Cricetulus griseus: one gene and its partners. The protein of the gene in region 4 interacts with the protein of the main gene of each other region in a pairwise test. Links are inferred from orthologs where the notes say so. Each region holds a gene or a part of one and is shown on either strand. Other genes may lie near its edges.

Region 1 (3,500 bases), on a different chromosome or scaffold from region 4:
GCTGAGGAGCAGAGCAAGGAGTGGCCCAGACCTCTGAGCAAGGGTAGAAAGCTCAAAAGTACAACGAGCAGGCAAATGGCCAGTCTCACAAGACCTCAGCAAGCTCTTTCCCTTGCTGCCCAGGTGTAAGGAGATGTAGACTGGTGAGAAGGAAGGGGACACGGGGGCAGAGCACACACTCACCATCTCCGTAGATTCTTATCCCTCGCTTCCTGGGAACCCAGGCAGGAAGAAGGAACAAATACAAATTAAGCCTCCAGGAATGCCACCAAGGAAAGGTTCCAGGCCCCATGCAAGGCTAAAAGAGATAGAGGTTAAGCCTCTATCTCCTGAAGATTACCCCCTCCCCCAAGTTGTCCTTAGCCAGGGTGAGCCAAGGGACACACTGTATAGTGCCTAACTCCTCACAACAGAGAAAGATGGAGAGACACCATAGGGCAGTTTTGGTGGGAAGACCTCAAAATTCTACAGCTCGAAAGGCTGACCCTAGCTCCTCTCTGAAGTACAGTGGGCCCAGGCTTGCTGCTTAACCTCTCTGGATCTAAGCAAGACTCTAAGTGTATTTAGAAAAGCACCAAGGAAACAGGAGGCAGAAAAGGCTTTGTTCCAGGTGTGATGACGCACGCCTTTAATTCAAGCACCTTGGTGGTAGAGGCAGGAGGATCTCTGTGAGTTCAAAGATGGCTAGGGCTGCATACACAGAGAAACCCTGTCTTGAAAAATCAAAAAAATAAATAAAATAAAGGAAGGAAGGAAGGAAGGAAGGAAGGAAGGAAGGAAGGAAGGAAGGAAGGGAGGAAGGGAAGGAGGGAGGGAGGGAGAGAGGGAGGGAGGGAGGGAGGAAGGAAAGAAGGAAAGGAGGAAGGGAGAAAAGAAGGAAGGATAAAGCTTTTCAAGAGCCCAGCAAAGCCTGGCTCAGGCTGACAGAACATTGTTTGCAGAGTTGGTGAGTGAACAGTGAATGACAAGCCCTCTCATGGGCCATGTCTAACAGGAAGCACTGTCCAATCTTTGGTCAACACAAAGCAGAGTTTCCAAAAAGCACAAAGAGAAGCAAGGTAGACACAGAAAGCCACTAACTGCTCTCTGTACTCCCCTAGACACTAGCAGTCATTCTCCTCTCTGAGGGAAGGTTTAAGGAGGAGACAGGGCAGGGACACAAGGACCTAGAGGCTGGCTGGCTCCTTACCCAGGATTCACAGGCTCCGACTCTAGGGGCACCTTCCGTGTCTTGCTAAGAGAGGCCAGAGGTGAGCTCATAGCTCTAGTCTCCAGGCTAGCTGTCAGGAACTCCTGAGAGGAAAGAAGGAAGTCACCCCTTGGAGAAAGAGGAGACCCAGGGCTTCAGGTCAGGAGGAGGGAGCTGCAACTCTCCCTGAGGAGGAACACTGTCCAGGAGAAGCAGGCCTCACTCCTCCAGTGCAGGCCAGGGTTCCTCCTGATGTCTGCTGGCTCCTCTGAGCCACTGACTCTCTGTTCTGAACACAGAACCCCTTGCCTGGTGGGGTGCAGGGCCTGGATCTTCCCCAAGTTTAGAGTGTGTGCTCTTATGGACCCATAACTGAGCTGGCTGGCATTAAAGCCCAGGTATCTCCTCCCTGCCTGCCAGAGCCCAGGTGCCACCCCTATCATCTCAGAGGAAGAGGAGGCTACCCACAGGCAGGACTCATTGAAGACACAGTCATGTACCATGGAAGTCAGGCACCTACCTGGGCCCTTGCATACCCCCTGCTACCCACAGTGTTAACTGGCACCTCACTGCCTCCCATGTAAAATGTGCGTGGTATCAGCACCTACCAGGCAGGTGACTGGAGGGGGTGGGGCTCAAGTCCCAAAACATTGTGCCCAGTGCCAAGCTCAAAGGCAGGCACCTGTCAGCTGAATTGTGGCTATGTGATGTGGAGCCATTGTTATTGGCACAGGGGACGACAACATTGGAAAATGCTGACTCCCTTCTTCTGATGAAGAGTATGCTGTGCAAGCCAGTTCTAACTAAAAGCCACCACTCTGTTCCCTACATAAAGCGACTAAAACCTAGCAAGCCTAGAGCCAAAGGGATCTCTGTTAGGGAGGGTCTGAAATGAGTCTTCAGGCTAAGTCCAAAGCTGACCTCTGGAAATGTGACACTGACCTTCCCCAATATGCTGGGCAGTTTTTGTCAACATGACACGAGCTAACATCTATCTTCTGAAAAGAGGGAACCTCATTCCCTCGATGAGAAAATGCTCCCATCAGATCAGGCTGTAGGCAAGCCTGTGGACCTACTCTTGATTGATGTCTGAAGAGGGAGGGCCTAGCCCTCCTCTGACTGTGTACTCCCGGGCAGGGAGGTTGTGAGTTGGATAAAAGCAGGCTGAGGAAGCCATGGGGAGCGAGCCAATACGCAGCACTGCTCCATGGCCTCTATTTCAGCTCCTGCCTGACCTCTCTCCATGTTGGACTGTGACATGGAAGTATAGGCCAAATAAACTCCCTCCCCACGGTCCTTTTGGACATGGTTGTTACCACAGCAACAGAGAGCAAACAGGACAGACTGACACTCTCCAATAGGGGAACCCATGCTGCCTGGAGGCAGCCTCCCTCACCTTCTTTCTGAAGTCTGGGACTTATGCCCCACCAGTTCTCAAAAGGGGGCCCCTCCCATGGCCTGGAGCAGAGTTCCCTCAGCCACCATCCTACCTCCTCACCATACCTCTGCACTGCTCAGTGGAAGGACTGGGCTCCCTCCTTTTATTCATGCCCACAAGCAACAATGACATGCCACACCCCTGAACAAACTTTCACCCTTGAATGAAAAACTCAAAAATGGGCATGGTGGTGCATACCTTTAATCCCAGAACTTGGGGAGGCAGATCCCTGTGTGTTCCAGGCCAGCCAGGGCTACATAGTGAGATCCTATCTAAAAAAGAGGAAGAGGACGACAGCGAGGAGGAGGAAGAGGGTGAAGAGGAAAATAAAATTCCCACGGGTGATCTGGCCCTGTCTGCCTCCTCAAATTATCCCCACCTGAGCACCCTTGCACTGAAGGCAGCTGCGCAATGCCCGGAACACAGGGTGCCCTGTCATTAGCCCCCTCTCCGGGGAACCAAACTTAAACAGCTGAGCCATCTCTCCAGCTCTAACCTCCTCTTCTGGAATGGTCTCCTCCTCTGACCCATACCCTTCCTCTGGCCAAGCTAACCCCTCGATTTTCCTTCTATTTCTTCTTAGGCTATAACTTAGCTTTTTATTCAGAAATTATCAGAGATTCACAAGGAAACAGTTCTGAGGGGCCCCTGCACCCATCACCCAGCTGCCCTCTGTAGTCACTGTTTTAGGCAACCCCAGTAAAGCATGAGCAGCAGAACTGGCTGTTTCTGCAGTTTGTGTGCACAGTCCAGTGGCACCTGGTCACACGGACAGATTGGGTTTTACCACTGCCATCAAGATGCAGGCCTTTCCCATCCCCAAGGCTTTCCTCCTGCAGGCTGAGTCACACTATGCCTCCTCACTAGCCTGGA
Region 2 (4,016 bases), on a different chromosome or scaffold from region 4:
CCTTGCTTGAGCCTCCTGCGCTTGGGACCTCTCTGCCCTACTCTGGGAAGGGCTCAGGCCACCTGGCCACTGAGTGCTTAGTCTTCAAATCCTAAGTGACACGCTCTAGTGGAACTAACTGAAACTGCCACTGCCACACTTAGTTCGTCACTTAGCACTTCTAACAGGCTACTCAGACTGCTGACTGCCCAATTTACTGTCTACTTTCCCCATGTGGACTTAAAATCCCCAAGGGCAGCCATGTTTTTTTCCTTGGTCTGTGCTTGTCAGACCATAATCTCAGAACCTCGTACGATCTCATGGCAAGGAGCACAGGCTAATTAGTGTGTCCACAGTCAGCCCACAGGGAACAGTGGGAAGCGGCTGGCCATCTCACGGGGCTCCTTTGGATTATCACACAGTTGTGGGGTGACACTGGAGCTGGCTGAAGTCGAAAGTCTTGTGTGGGTGGGATAGGTGGCCTCCTGTATCCCACCTGCAGCCCTGCCATCAGGGATTCTGCCCTCTCTCAGTTGTCCGGGGCACTTCTCCAAGTCCTCACTGCCCTGTCCCTCCCCTTGTCTGGGGCCAAGCTGGAGTCCTCTGAATCAGAAAGGCCCTGCCTGCCAAGGCTTCCCTTGGGAACCCCCCCCCCAAAAAAAACCTGCGACATCCCTCCAGGGGCCAAACGAATATGGCACTCACGTTGTCCTCCGACAGCTTATCAATGGTCACCTTGGCCTCCAGCAGGTGGCTGTTGAGGGCCACAATCTCGTGGTTCATCGCCCGCTTCTCTTCTTCATAGTGCTGGCCCTGGGCAGTAGGGGCAGTGGAAGGGATAGCTAGTGGTTAGTGCCACAGCCCAGCTGCTGGGTCAAGGCTTTTGTGAGCCCAACAGCTGTTGATGACAAGGTGCTCAAAAGGCTAATGGTGTAGGAGTTAAGACCACAGACTGATCCCGGTTTAATCCCATCTCGATAATGATAAACTGGATTAGCCTAGGCCAGTCCTTCCACTGAGCCTCAGTTACCTGCTCCCGATGTCCTTCTTATGTGGTGAGAAGTATGGCTTGCCCTGCCCACCTGTCTCAATGAGTGGAGAAGTGATGGTTAGCATGGCCCAGCCCCTACCTATCCTGCCCCCTTTGTCCTCAGACTGAAGACAGGCAGGCCTTGAACACCTGTCACCAAACAAGATCAAGCAGGAGCCTCATCCTAAAGAGAGGAGGTGCCAGAGCCCCACGGCCATTCTCCGTGCTGCCTGCACAGGCATGGCTTCCCTGGACCCCACCTCGTTCTCATCCTGAGAGCACCTCCCACTTGTGAGAACAAGCCTCAAGGGGCCACTCAGAGAGGGGGCAGGTAGCGTGCACTGGGGCCTCACCATCCGGTACAGCTTATCCTCCAGCTCTTGGTTGACACGCTGCAGCGTCATGTAGTTGCTCTGAATCCTGCAGCAGGAAGCAACAGTGTCAAGACTCGAAAGGCCTGACCTTCCTACAAGCAAGCCCAGCAACCTCACGGCCGCCATGCCCTGCTTAGCATGGCTGTCGGGCTCCTAAGCTTGTGCCACCAGCCCTACCTGATCCAATGTCTGCACTCAGGATCTGATCAGAGCTGACTTCTGTCAGGGCTTCTCCTAGGCCATGGTCAAAGTCCCATTGTTCTGCCCACCCACAGTAGGGCTCTTTGGAGAGAGCACAGGGAGGCTTGTGTGCATAAGAGCCTGTAAGAGCTGTATGCAGTTCTTAGAAGCTGGCAGGTGGCTTACAGAAGGACACACGTGTATATGTGGCCCCGAGATGAGTGCCAGTGACCAAGAGGGCATGTGGCTCCACCTGGAAAAGCAGGTAGAGACGGAGCAATATGCTTTGGCCTTCTCTTGCTGGTGGCTGGGGGACCAGGCATGGTGGCTGTGTGTCCTCTAGACAACCTTTGCAGTATTATTGCTGCCTTGCCAATAGGAAAGGGACACAAAAAGACGCTTAATGCAGTTTAGTGGCAGAGCAGAGCTGGGATTTTAACCAAGCCTGGCTCCCACACAGTGTGGAGTGTATTCAAAAGCCCAGAAGAATGGGACCATTCGAAGAGGGACACACTGCCCTCGGGACAATGCCAGCCGCTCCTCTAAGTATTTAAAACAAACTCAGCCAACAGCAGCCTGAATCCTCTTTGTGTTTCTAAGCTGGGGATACCCACAATAGGGTTTAGAAAAGCCAATGCCAGAAGGAAAACGGTGTAGGAATCTCTCAATGCATCCTGAGTCCCCAAGTCACTCAAGATGCCACTTTTATATCCACATTCGTCTTGGGAGCTTTTGTGGCCAGTGGGGAGGGGTCTGGAAGCAGCCCCACCTATGCTGCTGTTGGCTCATCCAATGTCAGAGTATTGCATGTATGAGGGCGTGAGAAGCCAGGTCTGGAAGAGGGCACTGGAAGAGCCTGACAATGGCATCAGTGGGTCGCAGGTTCAAGCCCTGGGTAGGCTGCTCTGCTCCACGTTTGCCAATCATCCCCGCAGCTAGCACTGCGGTGACCTAGCTGTATGCAGCTAGATCCTCACCATCCTCACCTGCGCAGTTTCTCAGTGACCTTGTCCAGTTCCTCCTGAGCTCGGCGCAGCTCAATCTCCAGGAAGTGACGGGTGGAGTCAAACTCTGTCTCCAGCTTCTCCAGCCTGTGGGTGGTGTAGGACAGCCGCTTGCGCAGCTCGCCCTTCTGCTCCTGCAGGGCACTGCAAAGCAACAGGCAGCTTGGCCAGGCTGTGCCACTGAGCAAGGGGAAACTGAGGCCACACTGGCCAGCCAGGCATGCTGTGGGCATGTACTGTGCTCTCGACCCCACTATTACTTGAATATGTGCACTGAGGCATAACCCGGTGCTCTCTGTGGCGGCTTTGCCAGCACTCGTGTCCTTCTAGGGGTCAGGACTCTGTGTTGTCCCCTGGGTGCTCACACTCCATCCCATCTTAGCCCCAACACCTGAGACTGTAACTTGCAGTAGACTTGCAGTAGGTAGGGGGCAAAAGGGAAGGAAGTTCAGGTGCCTGGGGGAAGGGGGTGGGAGGTGCTGGGAGCCCCAAGTCTGCCCAGATGCACTATGGGACTAGGCACCCCACCCCCACCCCGACTCAAAACCCAGTGAGGGGTGTGGAGGGCCGGCAGGCATCATCAGAAGTGTCCCCAACCCTGTGAGTAAGCCACACATGTCACAGGCACACTCCCAGCCACCCCCATTAGGCATTCCTGGATTCCTGCCCAGGCCTGAGGAAAGGGGGCGGGTCCTCCTGAGAGTCAGTCCCCAAAAGAGATTCTAAAGTAGCAAGGGAAACCCAAAGGCAAGGCCTTGCTGCCCACACAGGCCCAGTTGCCAGGTGTTCTGTTGTCTCTGCCAGCTGTCTCTTTGCTGCTCTCCTCCAGGCAGCCCGCCCAGCTGCATCAGCCCACTCCAGGCAGCCGCTACTCAGGCCCTTCCTCCCTTGTGGGGTGGCAAGCTTCCAGGAGTACCCACTCCATCCAAAGCAGAGTCACAGTGGGCAGCAACCCTTGAGGTTGGGAGGCCATAGGAAGAGGCTGTGCCCTTGGGAAGAGACGAGAGCCTGGTCCATCTGTTGTGGTGCCCCCCTCAGCACAACTCATTCGCCAGTATCCAGGCCAAGCTCTTGGGAAGCTGGACCTATAGCATGGTAGGCTGTGACACTCGGCCCCGACCCTCTAGGTCTATGAGGCAGCCTACCCCACATGCCTACAGACACCTGTCTCTACTCAGTTCAGACCCTGCCCGCACTGACAAACCCAAGCCAGCCTCTACATCATCCCTTGTTCCTCTACCCTGCCTTGGGCACCCACAGGGTCAGGAAAGGAGCTCCAGGGTGCATTCCATGCAGCGCCGGGACCCACCAGGGAGCATTGTTTCACAGAGCCTCAGTTTACCCTGGCCAGCCAATGGTCTTCTAGACATTGGCTCACTGGTCCACCAGCCCTTCCAGTCCCTGCCCCTCTCAGCCATCACAGCCACCTTCCAGGACAGTTGGCCAATA
Region 3 (4,099 bases), on a different chromosome or scaffold from region 4:
GGGTTGCTCTAATTAACTACCAAAAAACAGTTCTATGGCAAATTTGTCCCATTAGTCACCCATTTGAGTGAAGCAACAAATGAGCCACCCCTTTAAAGTAGTAATTTATGTTGCCAGATTAGAGCTAAAAAAACAAAACAATAACAAAAACCATAACCCAAGAAAAAAATGGGGTATATAGCTATGATTAAATTTAGTATCTCAGGACATAAAATTAATTATTCCCAAACATATTAAAGTAAACGAGTTAAGTGAAGCGGCCCATAGCTGTAGTCTCAGCTACTTGGTAGGCTAAGGCAGGAAGATGGTTTGAAGCCAAGAGTTCAGGGCCAGCAAGAGCAACAACAACAAAACACTCCAGGCATGTAGTGCACATCTGTAACACCAGCATACAACTCTCCAGAGTCAGAAACATCAGACTCAAAACCTAAGGACATCCTCAACTACTTAGCTAGTTTGAGGCCTGCCTAGAAGACAGGAGGCCCTGTTTAAATTTTTTTTTTTAAAGAGAGAGAGAGAGAACTAAAATGTAGTCCTGTTCTTTAAATGCTCACAAAGAGCCATTTCTTTCACTAATTTTTTTCTGAATTTAGTAAGTAGTGCATTTGTTACTTATTGTTGGCTAACAAACAAATATCCCATTAGAATTTATTTTAAAAGTGTGTATATAAACTCAATGTATTGTGTCAGAAGGCATGGCCTATCTTAAATCTGTGTTTGCTTAACAATCAAAGAAGTTTTCATTATCACACTGCTTGACTATCCCTAAATGTTGCCTCAACATACTTCTAATATGTATTAAATTCACCACCTAAAAACATAAGGTGTCCGCTGTATATGCTAACTGAGATAATAGACAGGGAAAAGCTGTACTGGTACTGAGCAGTCATTTTTTAATTCAGCAGGGGTTGGCAAACTACAGCCCACAGCACAAATCCAGTCCAAGTACTCAGCCAAAATAATTAACCAGGGGGCCATTAGGCTGTAATGGTTTCAGTCCCTTGGATTCCTATGTAAGTAAACTCAAATCCAATGATTACTATTAGAAAGAGGGCACCAGTGGGTTTTTCTGGGATGTAAATACTATTATGCTGTTTTAAAAAAAAAATGTAACCTTCTATTTTATGTATGTTGGTATTTTGACTACATGTATGTCTTGGCACGGCAAGCATACACAGTGCATACAAGCATGCTAAGAGGGCAGAAGGCATCAGATTTCTTGGGACTACAGTTATAGATGCTTGGTGCACCATGTAGATGCTGGGAATCAAGCCAGGGCCTGCGCTCTTAACCCGATGATCGATTTCCTCTGTCCCTTATCATGTTCTTTTTTTGATCTTGGTACTAGATAAAAGAGTATACAGCATGAAAATACAATGAGTTTTACACATGACTTAAACATTTTAAAGTTATCACACAAAGATTTTATTTCATACTCTGTCTTTGAAGAAAAAAATGTGTCTATCTCCTATTCATATTTTTTTGCCATCCTTACTTTTATCTAATGAAACAATTCATATTATCTTACTTTTAAAAAGCAAGCCTAATTTTACTGGCATACTAACATAGGATGTAATATAGTTTTGTTTCTGAAAGTGGGTGGGGGGCTTTCCACCACCCAAGGAACCTCCCAAAGGAACTCAAGACTGGAACCTGGAAGCAGGAACTGAAGCACAGACCAGGGAGTAATCCTGCTTACTGGCTTGCTCTCCATGGTTTGCATTGCTTCCTTTCTTATACAACTGAGGACCATCTGCCCAAAGGCCATACCACCCAAAGTGATCTGGGCCCTCCCAAACCAATCAATAATCAAATTAATCAAGAAAATGTCCACAGACATGCCTATAGAACAATCTGATGGAGGCAATTTCTGGCAAATACGCACAGGATGCCAGCCTATGGAATGATTACTATGCAACTGTTGTTTTGGGTGAGATCCTTTGCAGACAGAACACACTTTGCAAAGCGAGTTACTTGTGAAACTCGTAGGTTAAAGCAATCCTTCCCTAGCTCTGTCCAGGACCATTGGGAACTGACTCACATAAAAATGCTCGAAGGAGTCCACCCAAAGACCTGTTCTTATAGAAAAGGTGTTTTCTTTTTTTATCACCCTCGTCTATCCTGCGATATTTGAAGTTTACCCAGGTCCTTCCATAGAGCTTCAAATACTTCACCAATACCATTGGGTGGTATCATCCTCCAGTTAGAAAAGCCGGCTCTTGAAACCAGAGTTTGCTTCCATTCGCATCCTACTACAGCCGGCTCCGCGCGTGTTGAGCAACACTGGAGTTTTGCTCGCACTTTCAAGGGTGAGAACTATAAATCGCTTCAGTCCTCCAGCGGGGACTGAAACCCGAACTCTTGCCAAGATTTAGCAGGGATAAAAACCCACACTTTTGAATCCATGTTCAGCCTCTTAACTTTTAAGGCTGTGCTGAAACCCGAGGAGAAGGAGCACTGTGTCACCTGAGAACACCGCGACGCGGGCCCTCGAGGGTGGCCCGCACGCTCCGGGCCAACCCCGCGCAGCCCTCCTGCCTCTCCGGGGACCGCGGCCGGAAGTCCCGAGCCGGCTACAGCCCACCCTGAGCTTCCCTCCCCTCCCCCAACCCTCCGGGTCCACGCCGGTACCTGAGGAGCCGCGGGACCCCTCGGCGCCCACTCCGCTCACGCAGTTTCTCCGGCCTGGGGCGCTGCCACCGAGGGAGCCAATCGCCGCGCGCCCGCTACGCGCGCGCCCCTGAGTGACCGAAGGGGGCGGGGCGGGGCGGACAAGGCCGGGCGCGCCGCCGGGCCCACGGGGACGAGGCTGCGGCTGCGGCCGCGGCGCGCACCGGGCATGCGCGAGCCCGCTGGCGATCTTGGGGCGGGGCTTCCGGCGAGCTGGGGCCGCGGGGAGTGCTGAGGGGAGCTGGGGAATAGTGTGGCCCCAGGTCGTTCCATGGGAGTAGAGGACTACGGTCCAGACGAACTCTTGTGCGGCGAGAGGAGGGGAAACGTGGGGTGCGCGGGCGATCTTCACTGGGCAGAAACTGCGGTTCCCTTCAGTGGATGTGGTTTGCGGGACGCGAGGAAGGGTGCTGCGACGGGAGCCCGAGGGAGACCTCCAAGCGGGCCAAAGAACGCCTCAGACAAGCTTTAAAGCTCTTGGCAGTTTCTGTTTTCACTTCAGGACTACAGAGAGTGTATGCTAGACTATGTGCATGCTCAAAATGCTCAATCTCGGAATTTAAAAGAAAAACCTGAACGCAGAGGATATGGTTTATTGTGGACTCTAGGGGTAACGTGGAATTTTATCTGAACTGATATAACTGGTAATGAACCAAGTATTTCCCGAGAGAGAGAGAGAGAGAGAGAGAGAGAGAGAGAGAGAGAGAGAGAGAGAGAGAGAGAGAGAGAGAGAGAGAGAGAGAAACACCTGCCTCCCACCTTAGCCAAGTTACCTAGTTACTGGAACTACAGGCCACTTAACACTGGCACTTTAGTATTGAGCTTTAAAGTCACTTTAATTTACATTACTTAGTACTCTGAGTATTTACTATGTGCCAAGTACTCTTTTGTACTCTTGGATGCTGGAATAATAATATTAGCACTAATGTTATCAATAATAGTAATTTCTGCGCACGCACACACACACACCCACACCCACACCCACACACACACACACACAGAGAGAGAGAGAGAGAGAGAGAGAATAAAGTCATGATGACCACCAAAGTCATGATGGACAAAGATAGTGAAAGGAACTTACTAGTAAGTGCCAAAAGGGTGTGAAGTTTGGAAAATGGATGAGAGAACTTAGTTAAATTATTTGGAGTAAATAGAGTATAATATTAAAAAACAGTTTCATTTTTTATGTAACCAATGACTAGTTCTCTGAAGTGGCTTGTGACATTCGACCTTAAAGTGAATTTTTAATTTTATTTATTTATTGCTTTACATTACTCAGAGTTGAATCAGATTTTAATGGACATAAAGTATAATTAAAAATATGGTTATGGTGGTGCACCTCTGTAATCCTAAACCTTTGAAGAATGATCATAAATTTGAGGACAGCCTGGGATACATAGCAAATACACAGTTCCCACCACCACCACCC
Region 4 (4,158 bases):
AAGAGCACTGGATGCTCTTCCAGGGGACTAGTATCCAGTATCACATGACAGTTCACAGTAGTCTAGAACAAAAGTTGCAGGAGATCTGATGCCACCTTCTGGCCCCTGTGACACATAGACTTGCAGGCAAAATACCCATACACATAAAAAAAAAAAATTAAACTAATTCATTTAATTTTATTTTATGTGCATTGGTGTGAGGGTGCCAGATCCCCTGGAACCCTCATAGATAGTTGTGAGCTGATATGATGGTGGGAATTGAACCCAAGTTTTCTGCAAGAGCAGCCAGCAATCTTAACCCCTGAGCCATCTCTCCAGCCCCATAATTTTTTTTTTTCAAAAATCAATTAACTAAGAGAAAAAGAGAGAAAGTGGTATGGTAATATACATCTTTTGTTTTGTTTTGTTTTGTTTGTTTTTTCAAGGCAGGGTTTCTCTGTGTAGCTTTGGAGCCTATCCCGGCACTTGCTCTGGAGACCAGGCTGGCCTCAAACTCACAGAGATTCGCCTGCCTCTGCCTCCCAAGTGCTGGGATTAAAGGCATGAGCCACCAACGCCCGGCTGGTACTATACATCTTTAATTTCAGTACTTGGTAGGTGGAAAAGGAGAGTTAGGAGTCAACTCTAGTCATGTACACAGAGTTTGAGGACAGCCTGGGCTAGACAGAGACAGAGAAACTGAGAATGAATTAGTAGGAAGGCTGGGCGCATAACTTAGTGAGTGGTACACTGTATGCCTAAGGTGCAAGAGACCCTGCATTCAATCTGCAACACTACAAATAAATGATGTTGACAAGTAGCTTAGGTACTTCTTTCAGATATGTGTCAAGATAGCTTTCAGCTCTAATTGTCTACATATTGAATTATAACTATTATCCCCATTGCCTTGACCCCAGGACTTCTTTCTACCTGTGAGGTTTCATCTCTATGGTCTCATCTCTTCCCCTAGCCTAATTTTTTTTTTTTTTTTTTTATTAGTTCAAATTAGGAACAAGCTTGCTTCAGATGTCAATCCCTTCTCCCTCTCCCTCTCCTCCCCCCAACATCCCACCTGCCCCTAGCCATCCCCCCTCCACTCCCCAGGCAGGGTAAGGCCTTCAAAAGGGGCTCCCCAAAGTCTACCACATCATCCTGGGCCAGGCCTAGGCCCTTCCCCATGTGTCCACCTAACCTAATTCTTACTTGTCCTGATGTCATCAGCAGCTCAGAGAAGGTCCACCCCAGATGTCTTAGCCTTTATGATCCCCCTACACATACCCTTTAAGTTAGATCAGGGTATAGTTGTCTGTTGGCCAATAGGGACAATATGTCTGGCTACGAGGAACAGATACCTTCATCCTGGCCTTGACTCGGGACTCGACATTGTCATACTTGGGTGAGCGCCACAGTGCCTTCAGGGGCTTAGGCTGGCCCTGCTCCCGGCTTCGTTCTTGATCTTGGAAGCGCCTCTGAATCTCTCTGATCCGCTTCAGGTTTTCCTTCTCATGGTCTTTTGGATCCTTCCCTGGGGAAAAACTGTTGCTAGGGACAACTCTACAAATGGCCATGGGACTTAGACCACACAGGCTCACACTGTATCCTTTGCAGAAATTTCTCCCAGACAATCTGGTAGATGCCTAGAATACAAGAGGCCCTGGGTTTCAATATCCAACATCACACACACAACATTTAAATACAACCAAGACCTCTTTATGTAAGCTAGACTCCATACACACAGCACTATTATCATCTTAATCTCTCCTTCCACAGTGTTCCTTCTGGTATCTTCTACATTTTGATAGTGATACCATTACCTTGTCCTGTCTTGTTTATTGCCTCCAACTGTTCCACTCATACTTTTAAAGTCTGTTTTCCCAACACCTATAGGGCTTGGCACAAAAGCAGGCTAAGTAAACAACGTTCCATCGAGGTGTGAATGCTTGAAGCTAGGATTACCTACATAAGAACGGAACTCTGATCCTGTTAGGAAGTAGTGCATTTCGGCCTCTTTTTGTGCTAGGGAAACTAAGACCCACAAAAGTACATTAATTACCTGGGCTCAAGGCAATTAAGAAGCATCCTGTTTTAATTTCTGCTTTTGACCGCCGAATGCCTCGATACCACTTCTGGCAAGGACTTACTCTTAGGAGATACCCCTGAACCAAGGGATATGCCCTCCAGTTGCAGCAGCACGTCTCCCACGCCTCGCTGGCCACGCTCTAGTATCTCTCGGGCTCCAGGCCTGATGCGGGGGCCACGAGAAGGGCTGAAGTCCATGTCGCGACCTGAAGTCAGCAGGTCCAGCTTCAGTGCGTTTCCTTCCAGGCGCCCTTGGGCTGAAGAGCAAGACGCGGTGGAAAGCCGTGCTCAGTGGCGGCGCGAGCTACTCGCCACGCCGTGGGACCCCGCAACTCACCCGAGGCCGGCCGCCGGTAGTAGTCCGGGCAGAGCGTAGGGTCTGGGGGAATGGGTCCAGAGATGCTGGATGGGCCTTCGCACATGATCCTATCGCAGCCCTGCAACCGTGCAACGAAGCCTGCTGCGCTGCGCAACTTCGGCCCCCAATCCCTGTTGGGTGCTTCCATCCGCCACCCGAGCCCTGCAGCCCCGCAGTAGCCCCCATTCCCGACCCCCACCCTCGTCTCTCGCCCAGTCCCTAGGCTCAGTCTGCGCCACCATCCTGCTACCGGGATCCTGGCCGACTGCCCTGAGGTGTTCGCGACCCCTCCCCCGCAACACCCCAGAGGGGGCTCTCACTGGAGCAGTTTTACCGCCAACTGTTGCAAGCTAGTAGGAGTTGCTGTTGCTTGGCAACAAATGACTTCCTGAGGTCAGGGGTCAATAACTTCGGCGAAAAGCCTTCTGGGGTTTGTAGTTCCAGGTTAGGAACTATTTTTAAGTCGCAGGTCTCACCTCCCAGCGGGTCTACCCTACCAAGACTGAGTACACCAGTCCAACCTCCTCTGAACCCGCCGTCTTCTCCTAGCAACCGTCAAGGGATGCACTGATTCCGCACAGCCATGGCCTCAGCAGGGGCCCAGAGGCAGCCAGATGCCCAGAATGGGGCGACAGTAGGATTAGCCCAGCTTGCAGAGATCACTGAGGTGACTCAGGCATTTTCGAAGCTAGGGAGGTAGAAGCGGTAGGGCAGGAGAGGGGGACTGTAGGTGACCCAACCCCCTAACTGCCTGGTCGAGTCCTGCAAGTAGAGGGGCCTGAGCTGGTAGCCTTCATGTCATATTTTGTGGCCAATACTGGACTTTGAATGACTGGTCCCTACAATACTTTGCCTGGCCATTGGCTACTCTGCGTATCTTCCAGTGTCCAGGACCAGGACCAGGAGAAAAGTGTCTGGTGCCCGCACATGAGACCTGCAGAACCCCAAGTGAAGACAAGTATTCAGTAGGACACAGCTTCGAGCCAGAGCTCCAGGAGGAAGGAATAAACCGGGGAGAGGAAGGGCTCAATCCAGGGGTGGAAGCAGGAGAGGAGAGAGGACCCAAGCCTACATCATCCATCGTGAGGCCCAGTCATGGACCCAAGAGAAAGCCTATCAAGTGAGGGGGTTTTCAGAGGGAAGGAGTTGCAGGGCTGAAGGGGGTGGGGATCTTACACCCCGAGCTTCCTAAATCCTGATTCCTTCTAGGCAGATATCTTTGTCTTCTGCAACTGCCCCAACTCCCAACTAGAAACTTCTGTTTCTCTAGAAAAGGAGTCTAAGAGGAAGAAAAAAAAAAAAAAAGATTTGGGGCTTTCAGGTCTTATAAGAGACAGTGTTACCATGAGTAGCAGGTCTCTATTGGGCTTGGAGCTTCATTGACCAGGAAAGGGCAGCTGACTAGTCCTGGGGTTGGTGGGCAGGCTGGGCTAGGCCCTAGGCTCAAGACACAGGAGCCAAAGACTGAAGTGCACCTCTTTCAGGCCTCTTGTTCCAGGCTTGGGCACCCCAGCCCTCCCAGGGCCAAGCTACCATGCCCATCCTAGGGCTGAAGCTGAGCTGCCACCAGGGCTGCTGCTGCAGAAGGAGGAGCCAGAGGGCAGTCACAGTGAGTCCTCACTGTCTGCTAAACAGCACAAAAAAGCCAAGAAACGCAAGAGTGTAGGGGCTCCTGTGCCCCCAGCTTTAGCTGGCACATCCACACCTACGGAGACGTTGGGGCTGGAGCGTGAGTGGCAATC
Region 5 (3,500 bases), about 93 Mb from region 4:
CACACACCCCTGGGTCTCACCCCACACCTCTCAGGAAGCAGGCTGCCTGTAGAGGAAGGAGTGGCTAAACCAGGTTTCCATCTCCTGACTGACTCACCATGACCATGAGTTAAGTCACTTCCCCTCTAGGGTGTCACTTCCCTGTCCCCCTTGTAAGGGACAGATTGGAGTGGGATGAAGGTGAAAGGAGCATGAAGACCCCAGACTTAGTCAAGGCATGAAGGGGTCTTTTTCAGACAGGGTCTGCATTGAACGGTCAGTCCCCCTGCTCAGCGTGCCTGAGTGTTGGCGTTGCAGGTGTACAGTACCAGGCCTGGCACCCAGAGTCTTTTTGTTTTTAATTTCATAAAATTTTAATTAGTTGGTGGTGGCGCATGCCTTTAATCCCAGTGCTCAGGAGGCAGAGGCAGGTGGATCTCTGTGAGTTTGAGGCCAGCCTGATCTAGAGAGTGAGTTCCAGGACAGCCAGGACTGGTTCACGGGGAACCCTGTCTCAAAAAACCAGAAGACAAAAAAAATTATTTTGAGACAGGATCTCTCTGTGTAGTCTTTTTTTATTTTAGAGACAGGGTTTCTCTGTGGCTTTGGAGCCTATCCTGGCACTCGTTCTGTAGACAAGGCTGGCCTCGAACTCACTGAGATCCGCCTGCCTCTGCCTCCCAAGTGCTGGGACTAAAGGTGTATGCCACCAGCGCCCGGCCTTTCTCTGTGTAGTCCTGGCTGTTCTGGAATTCACTATGTAGACCAGGCTGGCCTCGGCTTCCAGAGTGCTGGGATTAAAGTTGCCGTGTGCCGCCACCACCCAGCTCCCCAGAGTCTTTATGGGGAGTTCCTGCTTGTGTGTGAGAGTATTTATCGACCCCTCACTTGTGCCTGTGTAGCATAGGTGCGCTGCTGTGGAGGGCCACATCCTGGCTGCACCTAGTGCAGACTGGATGACTTGAGTTCACATGTTGGCAATACTGTTTTTTCTGAGTATGAGCAGGGTGGATCCCCAGACTCTCTGCAAGCACATTGGGAGATGCGGTGTCAATACTAGGTGTTCTCTGAGTTGCTATTCTTAGCATCTGTTAGCAGGTAAAGAAAGGGCTCTGACTTAGGTGCTCTCTTCTCTGCTAACCTCCCCTTCAGGCACAAAATAGAGCTGTCAAGTCCAGCTCCATTCTGTCCTAGTGTTTGCAGTCTCTGCATCAGGACTGTCCCTAACATTCTCAGAACCTCCTGGCCTTCCCACTGCACCGCTCACCTGAGGATCCTGCTGCCACCTTTGGCAGCCTGTACCCCACTTTTCCTGCTACCCGTGAAGTGTAAATTAAGCCTGCTCTGTGGTGCCAGGCCCTTTGCCAGATGGTTGAGTGGACCTGTGATTTCAGAGCTGTGGGTGACCGATGTGTCTCCAATCCTTTTGGCTTTGAATTGGGAATTTCTGGTCTGTGTGGCAAATGAGGGTATGTAGTAGGCCTAGTGGGGTAGTGCTCACCAACACTGGCTGATTTCTGGTAAGTGGTGAGCTTTGGTCACCCCCCACCCAAAAAAAAAGTATGTGGCCATGGGAGCAAGAGTACATTTATGAAGGCATTCAGTGAATGGGGAAGGGGGCAGGGCAGTCGCTCAGTTGCTCAGATAGATGGGACACTTGTCAGGACCCTGACAGAAGTAACGCTGATCGACCCTATTAGGCCTTTGTAGCCCAGTCTTAACACAGGAGGGCAATCTGGTGGTGAAGTAGCCTCCAGAGCAGACTGGCAGAGCCCTCAAAGGCTGTGGACGCTAGCCTGAGGTGCACTGTGAGGGAGGGTCATAGAGAAGAATAGACAACCAAGCAGTGGAAAGGTAGATGACACAGCTTGGGTGTGGGCCCATGGGCTTCTGACCACTCCTCTCCACAGCTCACCCCTGGAGGCAAAGCTGCACAGGCTGGCGTGGCTGTAGGAGACTGGGTGCTGAGCATCGATGGTGAGAACGCAGGGAGCCTCACACACATTGAGGCCCAGAACAAGATCCGCGCCTGTGGGGAGCGCCTCAGCCTGGGGCTTAGCAGGTATGGGGCCAACAGGATGAAGGGGTGAAGGCAGTCTCTGGTCTGGCCCACTGCCATCACTGCTTTCTCTTCTTCTCCAGAGCCCAGCCTGTTCAGAGCAAACCACAGAAGGTAGGTTGTACAGGAGATAACTAGGCTGAGAAAGGGAGGGGGCTTAGACTTCAGGGTTGACCTGCCCTCCCCAGGCCCAGCCTTGTTACCCCTAAGAGCAGAGGGCAGATGCCAGAAGGGGCAGTGTCTGAGGAACTGAGAGGGGCTGGGAGCTGCCGCACGGTCTGGGCGCCACACGTGCCTGCCTGTCTGTCTGCCCGCCCGCTTCCTCCCACGAGCCTGTGCTGTGTGTGCCTGCCCATCCTTGGTCTCCCTTGGCCCAGAGTGGGTTGAGTTCACTACTTCCAAATGGGCCCCTTGAAATCATAGTTTCCCCTCACCCTTAGCCTCTGCCCAGATGTGTACGTGGAGCTGGACCTGTCACTGTCCTTGGTGGTGGTGACTCCGCTCCCACCTCAGCCCCCACTCCCACCCACCCTGCCTGGCTCTGTCTCTGCCCAGGCCCTGACCCCTCCCGCCGATCCCCCGAGGTATACTTTTGCACCAAGCGCCTCCCTCAACAAGACGGCCCGGCCCTTTGGGGCACCCCCACCTACTGACAGCACCCCGCAACAGAATGGGTATGTCAGCCCTCGCCCACTCACTCCTGTCTATTGTCCACACCGTCCAGTCCTTCCACAAGCACACACAAGCTGCCCGCTACTGCTCAGTCTGTGCTGTACCCCAGCCCCTTAACCGTGTGGCAGCAATCCCTGGCGGCCGGGTAGGCCTGAGGGTGTAGAGCCCCACCTAAGGCTGTCGCTCTTGCACAGGCTCTGCCACTCTGGGCAGCCTGGGGTTGGGGTGTGACTGGGCCAGCTGAGTTACTGCCACCTTGCCTCCCTCTGCACTTCTCTAATTCCCCATCTTTCTCTCCCGCGTCTGTCACTTTATTTGTCTATCTGTCTTATTTCCTTCACAGGTGCAGACCCCTGACAAGTCAGTGAGCCCCCTCTTCCTGTCACTTTTTCCCTTCCTTTGGGCACTTTGGGTGGTAGCCCCTCCCTACCCTGGCTACTCTCCTCCCGTCTCTCATTTACCTACCTACCCTCCTGCCCAGCAGGGCCCTTTGCCTCACCCCCCACCCTTCCCCTCTCTCGCCTGTCACATCAGATCCTGGTGGGGGGGGCTGCCCCTGGTGTTCACCAGAACCAGGGGTTCTGAGCCACACCCTTCCCACAGACAGTTGTTCAGACAGCTGGTCCCCGATGCCAGCAAGCAGCGGCTGATGGAGGATACCGAAGACTGGCGGCCACGGCCAGGGACAGGCCAGTCCCGCTCCTTCCGCATCCTTGCCCACCTCACGGGCACAGAGTTCAGTAAGTGCTGGCCCAGGTCAGGGCGGACTCTCTTGGCCTTAGCCTAGGCC
Region 6 (3,012 bases), on a different chromosome or scaffold from region 4:
TCTCATTAAGGGGATAATTATTCCTCCCCTGTCTTTAGCATGGAGTTAGATGAATCTGCCTTCCTGGTGGGCAGTCCATTAGCCAGGTGATGGACCTACCCAACTGGATTAACTCTTACGTTTTGGTTAGTTTGGAATGTTAGGGTTCCTTTAGTCTTGTATTCAGTTACACTCTGCTTAAGAGTCCACCAAACCACTCTACTCAGAGTCTAGGCATTTTTTTTTTTCTCAGAAAGAAAAGTTGAGATGGGGTGCTAGTGATGGTATACTCCTCTAATCCCAGAACTCAACTTGGGAGTCCTGAGGCAGGAAAAGTGCAAGTCAAGGCCAGCCTGGGCTATAAGTTGAAACCCTGTCAAAACAAAAGAAAAAAGAAAATATCTGGTTCTAATGCTTGACTTCAATCCTGTGTATTAGAGAAAAATTCCACTGTAATAGGATTAGCCTCATCAAGCACTGTCCCTATGCTCACCAGGGGGTGACAGGAGTAGGGGTGTCTCTCAGTTGTTCCTCGAATTGTCCCAGCGGCCATAGCCCTCTCGTTCCCCTGGCTCCTCCCTGCTCTCATGTTCAAAGTAGGCCTCTTCTTCTTCTTCCTCCCGTATCACCTTCATCAGCTCCAAAAAGGTGGGTAGTGGGCCCTGATCCTTCAGCTCCCGTAACCGGCACCATAGAACATTGGTGAGGTTGGCCCCGGCCATGACCTGCTCCAGGCGTACCTGGTCAGCAATGTTTCGGGGAATAGCCCGTTTTTCCACGGCTCTTCGGAGCAGAGTTTCCAGCCGGAGCACGTAGGCTGAGATTTTCTCCCCTTCTTGCTGATAGGTCTTTAGGTATCTTACCTGCGAGCTCCTACGGCTCTCCAGGCTCCCAAACACCTGCTTAAAGGCTTCCAGACACTCTTCCACACTGATGGATGGGTTGTCTCCCTGTACGATGTGCATGAGGTCCAGGGCAGGGCCGCGGAGGCTCTCCATCATCCACTTTTTCTTTTCTGCCTCTGGGATGGGCCACTCTTTGGCTATCTCAGTAGCCTGTTCCAACCAGATCTCGAAGGACTCCTCCTCCGGGGCAGGTACTGTGTTCCCAGAGAATACTCGCAACTTACAGTACCTCACAGGCTGCAGAGGCCTTGGAGCTTGAGCCATTGCCTGCCCCACCAAGTGGGCCAGTAACTCAGGGGATGTGCAGGTTGGGGTAGCTGGAGACACTCCCTCCTGCTTCAGGGCTCGGAACATCCCTGCAATGGTCTGGCCTTCTTTTTCTAGAAAAAGGTTCAATCTCTGGAGAAACTCACTGTCCTGGTTAGGGGTCTTAAAGATCACTTTCCAGACACCTCCTTTCCCCTGCACCTCACTGGGGACCACAGACATATCTGTGTCCTCCACGAGTTCTAGTAAGACAGCATTCGTGTTGTCTTGCTTCTGGAATATCTTGCCTAGCAGGCGGTAGTTGCCCACACACTTGAGCGCCTCCTGAAGGACTGCCTGGATCTCAGGCTCACCACAGTCGGCTGGTATGCCAGTCACCATCAGTGACTTCTGATCGCTCACACTCATTATCTTGCACCACTCCTCCAACAGTGCCACTGCCATCGCCCTAGGGTATGCTTCTGCACACAGTGCCTGCCTGGCTCACTTCCCAAGTAGCTCAGAGCCTTGCGGACCAACGCTCTGTCCTTTTACTCAGTGTCAAGAACCAGGCACTTCCTGTGTGTCTTCGGACCCACGGCAAGGTTGCTGGGTGGACAGGGTAGGCTGCAGTTACCAGCCCCGTGGCTCTGCAGTGGGTTTGCTGCCGTTTCTGAGAGCCTCAGGCAGCTGTGTGGTGCTGACTCTTGTCACTGTGAAGCACCTGGAATGACTGCTCGACCCAGCCTCTCCCGGTTTCTGTCACTTTGTCTCTACAGTCAATGAGGAGGTGGTTTTCACTCTAGCACCCAAAACTCTGGAAAGTCGTCACACAGCGAGATGGTGAGGACGCCTACGGAAACAGAGGTTTGTTTTTACTACGCAGACCTCTACTTCCCAGGACACACCCACACTGTGGTTTGGAATGGAGCTAGGGGTGGACCAAGGGCTATGACTCCCACTGCACCTTTGTCCACCCCACTCTGTTGGACCCCCTTCTTTGCTCACTGTACTCAGGGCTAGGGGAGCAGCTTAAACCCCTTCTCTCCACCCCAAAGCCCCATCAGTGGGTGGGATTCAAGACCTTCACCATTCGAAAGATGAAATTAGGAGACATAGTTAAATACCTGTTTATGTGTTCCGGAATGTTCCTCAAGAATCAAGGAGCATGTATTCAGCTTCCAGCTCTGGAAGATGTCTCCCACCTCTGTACAATAGTATGGGTGTGTCTGAACTTCATCCAAATCAAGCTGTCCTGTTACACACAAACATGAACAATGTGTTTTTAGGCCTAAAATCTAGTAATAAAGATGAATGCACTTATTAAAAATATAAAGGTTCAGTAAAGGATGGGAAAAAAGTGACAGTCCTGCACAATTTAGTAGAACATCCTAAATAAGATAGTTGCTGCACTTTGAATAAAAACACCTCCTAGTTCTGGGTATACTCCTCAGTCTGTAGAGTGCTTGCCTACCATACGTGAACAAAGCCTGGAGTTCAATTTCCAGCACCACATAAACTGGGCATGGTGGTACATGCCTGTATTCCCAGCACTTGGGAGGTGGAGGCAGGAGGATCAGGAATTTAAGATCATTCTTGACCTCATAGGGACTTTGAGGTCAGCCTGGGCTACATGAGAATCATACTTAAAAACAAATACAACTGCACTGTGTGTGGTGCCACTCTCAACTGTTGTGAAGATAAGGCAGGAGGGTGCCAAGTTTGAACTCAATCTGGGCTACCCCCAAGAAATCTCGTCTCAAAAGAAGAAAAAGATATATATAAAAAAAACCTAAGTAGAATCACTCAGACCTTTCAAAATAATTTTTAATGGGTATAATGAAGAAAAATTGAATCTCAGAAAAACAAGCACACCGTGAAG
Region 7 (3,500 bases), on a different chromosome or scaffold from region 4:
TGCTGGTTGGTCTCTATGAGGTCCCGGATCATGCTCTGCTGACGTGTTGTTTCTTCTATCAACATTTTCAAAGTCTGCCTCATTCTTTGTGATGATTGTTTGTCAAAAACGATGAGCTCTACATTGATATACATACATATATATAATATATATATACATATATATGTATATATAATACATAATACATATACATACACACACATATATATGCCATGAAAAAACAAAGAGAAGGTAAAGTCATTTTAAGATAAACACTTTTTAAAGAAAGAAAAAGCTTTGTTCCTAACAGAACAAGAACAGCATCTAGTTACCTTTGAGGTCAGTTCTTTTGACTAGACACAAAGGTTTGAAGCCATGCGTCATCAACAGCCCATTTACGCTTTCCCATTCTGCTTCCTCCTGCTACAATCACAGTAGAGAAAAAAGGAACAACTTAAAGATGTGAAGAAAAACCTTTTATATAGCATCCTATGTTTTCAGAACAGAACCTTTCCTCCAAAGGTGTCTGATTTTTAGATGTATGTATTTGTTCATCTATATGAGGGTATGAACTCGTGAAGTTCCAGTGCAGCAGAAACCAGAAAAAGGTGTCAGCCCCTGGGGTTTGAGGCAGTTGTGAGCCACATGACATGGATGCTGTGAACTGAACTAGGGTCCCGTGAAGACCAGCAAGTGCTTAAATGGTCTTACAATTTTTAGACAGGGTCTCACTATGTAGCCCTGGCTGGACTGGAACTATCAATGTAAACCAGACCAGCCTTGAACTTAAAAGGTGTAATTGCCTCTGCTTCCCAAGTGCTGAAATGAAAGATGTTTGGCATGCCTAGTTTTAATATGAAATTTTATGTATCAAATTATAATTTACAAAGGTTTAGTCTTTACTAAAATCAGCAACAGAAGTATGCAAATGAGTAAATTGTTATATTACACAAAATAACCACATGTAGGCCCCTTAATGGGCAAATTAAAACAAAACTTGTGATTTCAGTGAAACAGGTAAGTCTAATTGAATAAGGTCAGGCCATACTCAAATGACACAACTGAAAACTAAAACTAGCCACTCTGAAATAAGTATCTCTTTAACAATGATGAAAAAAGAAAATCAAGGGTCATGTGAGGGCTGGACTTGGGAAATAGCAGCTTCCAAAGGGCCAGGGTCCTGGGCAGGTGGCAGAGAGGAGGCCTTTATGATCTTCTTCAGGGAGGCTAAACAAATAGAAGCTCCACATCCAAAAATCAGACTGAAAGATTGACCTGTCCAGGTTCCTCTTTAATGTGAACTCATTTGAGATTTTCCAGCTATTCCTGAAGTGACAGAAAAAGAAATAAAAGAGAGGTTTCAGCCGCTATATAACACTAGTACATCCTGACAAAAATCAAGATGCTACTGGTGGTGCACAAAAGGCTTTTGAAGCTGTGGACAAAACTTACAAGTAGGCTACTGCCACGGGAACAGAAGAGGCCCTGGATGTGATTCAGGCAGAAAAGAACAAATTGTTAAGAGGCAGGGGTAAGGAAGGAAAGTAGAGGATGACCCTGAACTGTTCAAACAACCATTATACAAACAAACCATGAAGCCATTTGCTAAACTGGACATGAAAGAAGAGATGCCAAAGACGTGCACAAAGCAGAGGCGGAAGAAAAGTAGAGATGGTCAGTAGACAGCTGGTGAAATCTGCAAGCAAATCCCAAAGGGAAGAAAACAAAGAATCAGACCTTCCTGGGGTCACTGAAAGTAAAAATGGAGCATGAGTGGCCAGCTGGGTCACAGTCACAGAACTGTGCCTAGCTGTCCCCCCCTTCCTGCTTCAGGGGACTCATTCCTTCCTCCTATTTCCACCAACATGGAATAACATTGACTTTTTAGTCCATTTTGTCTTCACTACAATTTAATCTCAGAGTAATCCTCTGAATTGACAGAAGGGGCTCAGCTGAGCCCTGCCCCCCAGCCCTTGCCCACTTAACAAGCACAACTGGAAGGAGCCACCATGATGCTGTCCTATCTTCTCCCACAACCTGTGCCTTAATGTTCTGTACCTCACTAGACTATGATAGTGACAAACTTCATGGATAGTTCCTGGAAATCATCTTGCTTACTATGAATTCAGACAAGCCTGGACCACCTCTGGAAGTCCCTGTGCTTGATTTGAAGGTGTCATCCTCAAAGTCCCAGAGCAAGTAAAGAAGGCATTTGTGAACACAGCATGCAGTCACTCAATGCCCTCAAGCCCTGTGGTGTTTGATATATGTCCTCTGTCAACTGACCAACCATTGCTATCAATAACAGCTGTTAACCCCTGAGCAGCCACACCGAGGCCTCCAGTCTCCTTATCATCATACTCCCAGAGGAGCCACAGCTGCCAGAACCTGCCCCAATCACCATCACCTCAACCCTGAAAAGCAAGACAGAAAGACCCAGCAGCCGTCTCTGCCTCCACACCCTCAGCCACCAAACTGGGCACCATAGGGAGCTGTGTATGCAGCATCGAGGGACAATATGGGCACTAGGATTGTTACTCTAGCTCCAGAGGGGATTCGATGCCTCTGGCTCCTGAAGGAACCATATGTCAAATCTTCTGGAGACTGATAAAATTGGGGAAGCTAAAGAAATAAAGATACTTGACAGTCTTTAACCCAGAATCCTTAAGTAATTTATCCATTTTTTAAAAGATTCATTTTTATTTATTCTGTCTGCATATATACCTGCAGGCCAGAAGAGGGCACCAGATTTCAGTATGGATGGCTGTGAGCCACCATATGGTTGCTGGGAATTGAACTCAGGACCTCTGGAAGAACATCGAGTGCTCTTAACTGCTGAGTCATCTCTCCAGCCCCAGGAGATTCATTTTTAATTACATGTACTTGTGTATGAGTTTGGGGGTCAGGCAGAGTGACGGATAGTATTTTCAGGTGAGTGTAACTACCTGGAACTGAACTTACAAGTAGTTGGGAGCTGTATGATGTGGGTGCTGGGACTAGAACTCAGGTCTACAAGAGCAGTATATACTCTTTTTTTGAGACAGGGTTTCTCTACATAACAGCCCAGGCTATCCTGGAACGAGTTCTATAGACCAGGCTGGCCTCAAACTCAGAGATCCGCCTGCCTCTGCCTCGTGAGTGCTGGGATTAAAGGTGTGCACCATCACTGTCAGCTCCAGCAGTATACCCTCTTAGCCACTGAGTCATCTCACAATCCCAACAAACAATCTTTTTAAAGTCAGAATTTCAGGCCAGAAAAAAGTTCAGTAAGTAAAAATGCTTGTCACCAAGCCTGACAATCCAAGTTTGGTCCTGAGACTCTCATGGTGGAAGAAGAAAATCTTAATTCCTGCAAGGTTTCCTTTGACCTCATGCACACCACATACAAAAATAAATAAATGCAAAAGAAAATGCAAAAAGAAAATATGTCAGAGTTTTCTATTTGTATACTTGTCATTCTTTTGTCATATACTTTGAGAAACAGTGACAAAATATTTTAAGCTTACCTGTTTTTCAATCAG

Evidence for each region.
Region 1: the proteins of Enkd1 (region 4) and Ubxn11 interact in binary tests that used the Homo sapiens proteins (3 or more experiments, as listed by UniProt). The two-hybrid records come from large-scale screens. The link is inferred for Cricetulus griseus from reciprocal best matches to the Homo sapiens genes ENKD1 and UBXN11.
Region 2: the proteins of Enkd1 (region 4) and Begain interact in binary tests that used the Homo sapiens proteins (3 or more experiments, as listed by UniProt). The two-hybrid records come from large-scale screens. The link is inferred for Cricetulus griseus from reciprocal best matches to the Homo sapiens genes ENKD1 and BEGAIN.
Region 3: the proteins of Enkd1 (region 4) and Mipol1 interact in binary tests that used the Homo sapiens proteins (3 or more experiments, as listed by UniProt). The two-hybrid records come from large-scale screens. The link is inferred for Cricetulus griseus from reciprocal best matches to the Homo sapiens genes ENKD1 and MIPOL1.
Region 5: the proteins of Enkd1 (region 4) and Pdlim7 interact in binary tests that used the Homo sapiens proteins (3 or more experiments, as listed by UniProt). The two-hybrid records come from large-scale screens. The link is inferred for Cricetulus griseus from reciprocal best matches to the Homo sapiens genes ENKD1 and PDLIM7.
Region 6: the proteins of Enkd1 (region 4) and Pnma2 interact in binary tests that used the Homo sapiens proteins (3 or more experiments, as listed by UniProt). The two-hybrid records come from large-scale screens. The link is inferred for Cricetulus griseus from reciprocal best matches to the Homo sapiens genes ENKD1 and PNMA2.
Region 7: the proteins of Enkd1 (region 4) and Cep70 interact in binary tests that used the Homo sapiens proteins (3 or more experiments, as listed by UniProt). The link is inferred for Cricetulus griseus from reciprocal best matches to the Homo sapiens genes ENKD1 and CEP70.

What each region holds. Positions count from the first base shown.
Region 1 is NC_048595.1:19,186,241-19,189,740, forward strand, and holds part of Ubxn11 (UBX domain-containing protein 11), read right to left. Parts: intron 1,319-3,500; coding exon of another isoform or gene 1,294-1,318; coding exon 1,190-1,293; intron 299-1,189; exon of another isoform or gene 293-298; coding exon of another isoform or gene 213-292; coding exon 184-212; intron 1-183. UniProt on the Homo sapiens protein: May be involved in the reorganization of actin cytoskeleton mediated by RND1, RND2 and RND3. Promotes RHOA activation mediated by GNA12 and GNA13.
Region 2 is NC_048598.1:185,739,198-185,743,213, reverse strand, and holds the start of Begain (brain-enriched guanylate kinase-associated protein), read right to left. Parts: upstream 2,801-4,016; coding exon 2,550-2,800; intron 1,430-2,549; coding exon 1,363-1,429; intron 793-1,362; coding exon 685-792; intron 1-684. UniProt on the Homo sapiens protein: May sustain the structure of the postsynaptic density (PSD).
Region 3 is NC_048598.1:145,200,889-145,204,987, forward strand, and holds the start of Mipol1 (mirror-image polydactyly gene 1 protein), read right to left. Parts: upstream 2,801-4,099; 5' UTR 2,632-2,800; intron 1-2,631.
Region 4 is NC_048596.1:181,988,650-181,992,807, forward strand, and holds the start of Enkd1 (enkurin domain-containing protein 1), read right to left. Parts: upstream 2,801-4,158; 5' UTR 2,737-2,800; intron 2,496-2,736; 5' UTR 2,481-2,495; coding exon 2,396-2,480; intron 2,316-2,395; coding exon 2,121-2,315; intron 1,505-2,120; coding exon 1,332-1,504; intron 1-1,331. Other genes in the region: CUNH16orf86 (uncharacterized protein C16orf86 homolog), read left to right, coding at 3,000-3,083, 3,301-3,536, 3,901-4,145. UniProt on the Homo sapiens protein: Microtubule-binding protein which regulates microtubule organization and stability. Promotes the stability of astral microtubules and facilitates the proper orientation of the mitotic spindle.
Region 5 is NC_048596.1:274,494,265-274,497,764, reverse strand, and holds part of Pdlim7 (PDZ and LIM domain protein 7), read left to right. Parts: intron 1-1,889; coding exon 1,890-2,041; intron 2,042-2,121; coding exon 2,122-2,152; intron 2,153-2,593; coding exon 2,594-2,712; intron 2,713-3,053; coding exon of another isoform or gene 3,054-3,070; intron 3,071-3,313; coding exon 3,314-3,450; intron 3,451-3,500. UniProt on the Homo sapiens protein: May function as a scaffold on which the coordinated assembly of proteins can occur. May play a role as an adapter that, via its PDZ domain, localizes LIM-binding proteins to actin filaments of both skeletal muscle and nonmuscle tissues.
Region 6 is NW_023276807.1:221,896,243-221,899,254, reverse strand, and holds Pnma2 (paraneoplastic antigen Ma2), read right to left. Parts: upstream 1,596-3,012; coding exon 501-1,595; downstream 1-500.
Region 7 is NC_048597.1:207,688,505-207,692,004, reverse strand, and holds part of Cep70 (centrosomal protein of 70 kDa), read right to left. Parts: coding exon 3,486-3,500; intron 1,790-3,485; exon of another isoform or gene 1,219-1,789; intron 1,109-1,218; exon of another isoform or gene 1,086-1,108; intron 403-1,085; coding exon 312-402; intron 119-311; coding exon 1-118.